Linked DNA regions of Macaca fascicularis. The protein of the gene in region 1 purifies or fractionates together with the protein of each later gene. This does not show direct contact. Links are inferred from orthologs where the notes say so. Each region holds a gene or a part of one and is shown on either strand. Other genes may lie near its edges.

What was found.
Region 2: the proteins of ALK (region 1) and SHC1 purify together in Homo sapiens (affinity purification with mass spectrometry; 3 studies listed by BioGRID and IntAct, with this or other methods). This does not show direct contact. The link is inferred for Macaca fascicularis from reciprocal best matches to the Homo sapiens genes ALK and SHC1.

The regions. Positions count from the first base shown.
Region 1 is NC_088387.1:92,988,377-92,992,191, reverse strand, and holds part of ALK (ALK tyrosine kinase receptor), read right to left. Parts: intron 2,604-3,815; coding exon 2,417-2,603; intron 1,715-2,416; coding exon 1,624-1,714; intron 1,516-1,623; coding exon 1,451-1,515; intron 1-1,450. UniProt on the Homo sapiens protein: Neuronal receptor tyrosine kinase that is essentially and transiently expressed in specific regions of the central and peripheral nervous systems and plays an important role in the genesis and differentiation of the nervous system.
Region 2 is NC_088375.1:106,181,969-106,185,319, reverse strand, and holds the end of SHC1 (SHC-transforming protein 1), read right to left. Parts: intron 2,235-3,351; coding exon 2,106-2,234; 3' UTR 632-2,105; downstream 1-631. UniProt on the Homo sapiens protein: Signaling adapter that couples activated growth factor receptors to signaling pathways. Participates in a signaling cascade initiated by activated KIT and KITLG/SCF.

The DNA.
Region 1 (3,815 bases):
AATTGGGGGGAACAGGATACAAAGTTACATTTTCAGCAGCTACAATGTATAAATGCATTCTGTAAATAGGGGCAGCAGGGGTCCCGGGCTGAGCCTAAACCCAGAATCTCGCTGGTGAGCAGGTGGGAAGAACCAGAGCAGGCTCCACAGGAGTTCCGTTTGCAGGAGAGGGGCTGGAGGTGCGAGGATGTTGCTCAGGCACTTGGGTGAGAAAGTGTCTCGGGGGCAGGACGGTGTCTTTCTCAGATACTGGTGCACGGACTGGGCACTAGAATTCATGGTCGATTTCTCCCAGGAAGGTCTCAGGCAGAAGGTGAAGCAAAACAACTGCTTCTAAGAGAGACTGGGTGAGACTTGCCAGGTGACGGCATGTGAAACAGAGCCAGGAAAAGGGGATGGCCTCATAAGTCCATCAGTTTCCTGTGGATTCCTCATGGAGGGGACCAAGACTTGGGTTTTCTTGTTAACATGATCCCTTTAGAACACACAGGCAGTGGGGCCTAGGAATTCCACATGGGCCAACATGTGCATGCATGTGTGTGCATACACATACGTGTACACGCCCCCCCCAAGTGTTGAAAGACTGGGTGATTAGACACCAACATATAATGGTTAGTTACCACCAAGTAGTGAGATGGAGCGATTTGGGTCTTCTTCAATATAATCTCATACTTGCCAAGTTTTATTCATAATCAGGAATTACATGTATCATCAGAAAATAAATGTTATTTTGTGTGTTCTCCTGTGACTCCAGACCTCACAGCCATATCGCTCACACTGCCTGGCCTTGTTACCCCTGCCACTTCCACCAAGGGGACATCCCAATCTGCCCCCACCTGTCAGGACGTTCAGAGACTTCCTGGTGTGATGGGGGCCATGAGCCTCCACCTGATCTTGAGGTCAAACATCTGCCTCCTCCTTGAGGGGATCTGCTGCCACTGTGGATGCCCTCAGGAGCCACAGGCACTGAGACTCTCAGCTTAAATACAGACCCTGGAACCTCAAGTCAAAAGGTACAGCCAGCTGAGACTCATCCCTGCTGATGGGAGCCTAGGATGGGGTGGCCTTCCATCATATTCGGAGCACATTTACTGGGATTGGTGAAGGGTTTGGGAGGGAGATTGTATCTTGTACTGTCAAAGTCTAGCATGTTCCATTTCTTAAGAAAAAGTGAGGGAAGAAGAACCAATGGAGAACAGCAGGGAACTGGTTGCAGACCGTGACATCGGTGGGATTATTAGGCCACACAGATTTTGTTTCTGAAACAACCACCAGGGGTTGTTCCAGTCTGGTAAGAAGTGTCTAGAATGTTTGGGAGTCTCCTACTGGAGAAAAGGGGACATGCTGGGGACAACACCATTTCCCTTGGAGACGTCGATGTGTTAGAAACCTCTCCAGGTTCTTTGGGGCAGTGGGGATTTGGGGTGAGGGTGTCTCTCTGTGGCCTTACCTGATGATCAGGGCTTCCATGAGGAAATCCAGTTCGTCCTGTTCTGAGCACACCTCAGGCAGCGTCTGGGCAGAGAAGGGGAAGGTGGGGAGGAGGAGGAGGCTGTGAGCTGACAGCCGCAGCCTACAGAGTCTGCAAGCCAAGGGCAGGCTCAAGAGTGAGCCACTTCTTACCTTCACAGCCACTTGCAGGGGGCTTGGGTCGTTGGGCACTCCGGACACCTGGCCTTCATACACCTCCCCAAAGGCGCCATGGCCCAGACCCCTGTGCAAAGGAGAATACAAGATGAGACAGAGTCAAACAGGCCACAGTAATGAGGCAGCTGGGGCTCCTGAGCCCGGGGCTCACATTTAGTGGACAAACACAAGAGGCAGGGGATAACGTACACACTCAGGAGTAACACCCTCAACACGGCTGTGCTATGCAGTAAGAAGGATTCCAACCAGGGACTCATGACAATGGTCAAATGTTTATTCATTCAGTCAGTAGTTACTGAGTCTGATATTTGCCAGGGACACAGGGGTGTATGAACCATGGCTTTTCCCCGGGGAGGCTCATGCTCCTTTAGGACAGACATATCGCCGGGGGGTACTGGCTGGGGAGTATTGCCAGTGAGTGACAGAGAAAGGTACAGTTGCTCTAGATGCTCAGAGGAGGGGCCCTTTGCTCCCCTGCTCCCCTGGAGGGAAGCAGGGCCAGGAAGCCTTGGAGAGAGCATACCTCAATGAATTTTGAGGAGAGCCCTGGTTCTCCTCTCATTGTATAAACTCCATAAACATATAGGAGTTAGTGTAAACCAACACACATGGCCCTGAATGTCAAGGTTTGTCCTCCTAGGAGGGCTGGGGGTGCCCATAGGGAGGGCTCTGCTGACCTTTTGTGGCTGGAGGAGTCTGTGATGCTGTGATAACATTCAGCCCCTAGACTGCAGCCCCTCTCCTCCCAGGATGGCAGCAGGGCGCTCACCGAATGAGGGTGATGTTTTTCCGCGGCACCTCCTTCAGGTCACTGATGGAGGAGGTCTTGCCAGCAAAGCAGTAGTTGGGGTTGTAGTCGGTCATGATGGTTGAGGTGCGGAGCTTACTCAGCTTGTACTCAGGGCTCTGCAGCTCCATCTGCATGGCTTGCAGCTCCTGGTGCTTCCGGCGGTACACTGCAGATGGATGGTCAGCTGCAACATGGCCTGGACCAGGCAGCCTGGCCCTTGAAGCACTACACAGGCCACTTCCTACAGGAAGCCTCCCTGGATCTCCATATCCACCCCTGAGCTCTGAACCTTTCCATCACACTTAGAAATACTAACAAAATGATTCTAGATGTGAAGGTGTGTCTTTAATTGAAACATGATTTAAAGTAAATGTAAAGCTAAAAATCACAAACACAGAAAAGAATTATTTGTATTATACAGGGCAGAGTCATGTTAGTCTGGGTCCTCCAAGAAGCAGACTGGAGACGGGATTAGACCCAAGATGGTCTGCAGATTTTATTAGAAGAAATGCCCATGAGAGGAAATGGGGAGGGAGCCAGGGAAGGCCGGGCGAACCAGCAGACCGTGTTGCAAGTCTGACCCCATGTGAATGAGGGAGGGAGGGAAGGTTGGGTGGAAGCATCCTGGGTGCCATGCAGCCTAAGGAATTTTCAGCAAGGCCCTAAGGGGTTCTGGAGCCAAAGTCAGCCATCAGAGGAGTCCCACGGCTCCCAGGAATTGGCCTGCCTTAGTATTTCTGCTGTGCCAGCCACGGGGTAGGGCAGCTTCGCTGCAATCACAGCAGTGGGTTTGAGGGTGCAGCTGGGATCTTGGTCAATTGTGTTTCCTATAGTTGGAGAACTGCCAAGCCGCAGAGTTGGAGAAGAGCCACATAATGAAAAGATCTCTAAACTGGTGTCTGGGGATCTGAGCTCTAATTCCGCCTCTTGTTACTTACAAGCTGAGCCGTGAGGACCAGGTCACAGGACCTCTTTGGACAGTAGTTTCCCTCTCTGTAAGCAGGGATGGTAACTCCTGCCCTGTTTCCCTAACCACTCCCACTCCCCACCCCCAGGGTTGTCAATGAAATGAATTCACCAACGTAAAATGGTTTTGAAAAGTTCTAAAGAGCTCTACCAATGTGAATGACCATTATCACTCCTACGTGTGAGGATGTGCTGGAAGGCAAACTCCAGGGGAGCCAGAACAACACTGTGATTCAGAGGGTAGATTCTGTGTGTAAAGCCCAGCACCCCCAACACACGGGCCAGGGCAAACGAGTCACCCACTATGTGCTCAGTTCCCTCCTCTATGCTATGGACCGACCATGATCAGATTAGGGTTACTCGAGGATCGAATGAACTGAAATGTGTAAATTGCTGAGCATGTAGTAACCAT
Region 2 (3,351 bases), on another chromosome or scaffold:
GCCCCCAAGCTGCAGCAACCACAAAGTGGGACGACAGGGAAGCGCCCAGCCGCGGCGCGAACTGCGCGCTCTCTCCAGACTCGCCGCCAGCCAGCGGCTGCAGCAACCGGAACCGGAACTCGGCGCGGCCACCACCACTAAGCGCGGCGGGGAGGGGGAGCAAGGACCGGACGAGACCCCACGCCAGAAAACAGGCGGCAGGCGAGGGGCGAGGCTTACCACTGCACCACGCGAGTGGAGAGGGTCGTTTCCGCTAGCGGCGGCCCACACCAGCTCACCGAGGGGCGGCGGCGCGCGGCCCTGCTGCCGGACCGTACCATCCCGGGCGGTGGAGCCACCGCCGAGGGGCGCGCGCGAGCCGAGGGCGCGCCTGGGAGGTCTAGGTAGTCCCGGGGGCCGGCGTTGCGGCGCCGGGGAGTCCCGGTTCTTGCCTGGACTCACCCGGAGCCAGCCCCCGCCCCCCGGACACAACATCTTCATGGGGACGGTGGCGCGACACGCCCCACTCTGCCGCGCCCAAACTCCGCAGACCCCCCAGCTTCCCTCAGCGGCCGCGACCTCCCGCCTCCCCGCTGTGCAGCTAAGGGCCCGCGGCGTACACAATAGGCTTCCCAGGATTAAGAGGCAGAGGTAGAAGAAATACGGACTTTAATGAAGAGTTTTCCCTTTGGTATAAGTGAGACCCGTGGAAACATCCAAACAACAGCAAAAGGAGTCCAGGATGAAAACGGTCAACTGTCCCTTATCCACAAGGCCAAAAGAGGGGCCCAGGCTGGGCCGGGCCTGTAGAAGGTACTCAGGAACTGCAGGTTTTGCGTTTCCCCTCCATGAAACTGACAGGCATTCGAGCTGACTTCTGCCTCTCAGTCTCGCGGTAAGAGACCCAAGTTTTTCTAGTCCTAGATGGAAATAAATTTCATCTGCCTCAGGTCTGGTATAAAAGGTGCGATCCCAGTTACCTCACAGGCCTGGGCGAGGAAAATGCCAACAGCTGTAAAAGGGCTTGGAAAAGTCAAAAAGGTGATGTATAAATGTAATAATTGATTACCATTTTGTGCTCGAGAATAAGCCATGGAAAACAAAATAGGAAAGTAAGTCTACAGCCCTAAAATATATGCATATAAAACTTTAAAAGAATGCAGTTCCAACTCTACAGATGGTATTTGGGGATTGTCTACTGCTTTAAGAGTCTCAATGCCCTTTTTCCCACCTCCACAAAATCCACCTGGGAGAGTGAACTGTACAAGAGGCCCAAATTCAGTCACCCCTACCCCACCCTGCCAGAAAGGGAGGCAGGGCAGAGGCTCCAGGAAGGGCTACACTTTGGCTGTAGAGTACAATAGGCATGCAACATGGGAGAGGGCAGGCCTTATGAAATGTATATACAGACCCCTTGGGGTGAGGGGCCCCGGCCAGGAGGCACTGAGCAAGGGAGGGATCCATCTCCCCCCTGGCCGGGAGGGGGGCTCTGGGGCAATCTCTAAGGGTTGCATATCCCCAGGGAGAGGGGACAGCTGCCACTCCTGCCTCTGTTATCCCAAACCAAACCGGAAAGAGTGCTGAGCAAGAAGACAGGTCCCAGAAGCCAAGAAGGTGTTGGCATCCCTGTCATTGAACTCAGGGGCCCAAGAACTCTGCATAAAATATCATCAGACCTAAGAGATGGTCAAAGGCACAAAGTTTTAAACATGGTGGGGTGGGGGTGTTGAGAAGGGTCTGGGATACCCTGAAGCACAGAAGTGTGATTTGTTCCCCCTTGCCCAAAAGGGTGACTGTTCCACTGGGCCTGTCACCACAGGACATTTTCCATGACAACCACTCACTTTCTTGGGGAAGGGGCATCAGGTTGGCACAGGAAAGGCCCAGGTGAAGGGCCACTCTGTACATTAATACTTTGGTGATCAATGTTTGGGGAGAGGCAGGATTCTCCCCCAGGCTTCTGACTCAAACCCTCACTCAGCTGGATATGAAACCCAGAGTCCACACTACTCCCAGCTCTGACACAAGGCCAAGCCCACAGAACACTCCCAAATGAGGTCCCAAGAGTTAGGGAATAGGGTGGAAAGGACTGGAGGGCATCTTCTGGAAGAGAGCTCTGGGGCAGATCACAGTTTCCGCTCCACAGGTTGCTGTAGACACAGTTCGCTGCCCGCAGAGATGATGGGCAAGTGATTGTCCATATGGTAGCTGATGAGGTGACTGACACTCTCAAAGCGGTGATCCTTAGTCCGAACCTGGGAGGGTGGGAAGGAAGAAGGTCAATTCAGGTGAAGAGTCAAATAAGACCTCAGCCTCCAAGGTGGAAGAGGGTAAAACACACAAGAGGCTTGAAGAAGGAGAAAAAAATGGTAGGGGAGAGTGTGGCCTATCAGTCCTGATAATTGAGGTTTCTCTAGAAAGAGACAGTTGCAGGAATAGACAGGTCAGTGAAGTGGGAAAAGGCAAAGGTGACATCAGCCCTGAAAGAGTGAAGCTGAGAGCTATATACCCTTTTCTTGATGTGGAAAAAGTTGGCATGTCTCAGAAGAGTATACACAGTGCAAAAAAAAGATGTGGAGGCTGGGCATGGTGGCTCATGCCTGCAATCCCAGCACTCTGGGAGGCTAAGGGAGGCGGATCACTTGAGCCCAGGAGTTCAAGAACAGCTTGAGCAACATGGCGAAACCCCATCTCAACAACAACAACAAAAATACAAAAATTAGCCGGGTATGCCACCACACCCCAGCCTGGGTGACAAAGCAAAACCCTATCTCAAAAAAAAAAGAAAAGAAAAAGAGGAAAGGAGGCTGAGATTGCTGTAGAAAACAGACAAAAGTTTGTTTGTTTCTAGACAGGGTCTCTGTCACCCAGGCTAGAGTGCAATGGTGCAGTCATGGCTCACTGTAACCTCAAACTCCTGGGCTCAAGCAATCATCAGGCCTCAGCCTCCTGGGTAGGTAGGACTACAGGCATGTGTCACCATTCCTGACTAATTTTTTGGTTTTTTTTATTTTTCTAGAGATAAGGTCTTGCTATGTTGCCTAGGCTGGTCTAGAACTCCTGGCCTCAAGCAATCCTCCCACCTCAGCTTCCCAAAATCTTGCGATTACAGGCATGAGCCACCACACCTGGCTAAACAAGGAAAGTTTTGAAGAACAGTGAGGCAGTGCAGATAAGAGAAAGCACAGTGGTCTGACTCCTGAGTCTGAGGAGCTGGAGAAGCCCTTGGATCTTCTTACGAAAGGAAACTTGCAGTGTCTAGCCTTTAACCATGTGACATTGGGCCTCACAACCTCTTCGGGGTGGTTTCCTTATTTGTAAAAATGGGCACAGATGAGATGACTGCCTTCTAGCTCTGATAAGGCTTGGGGA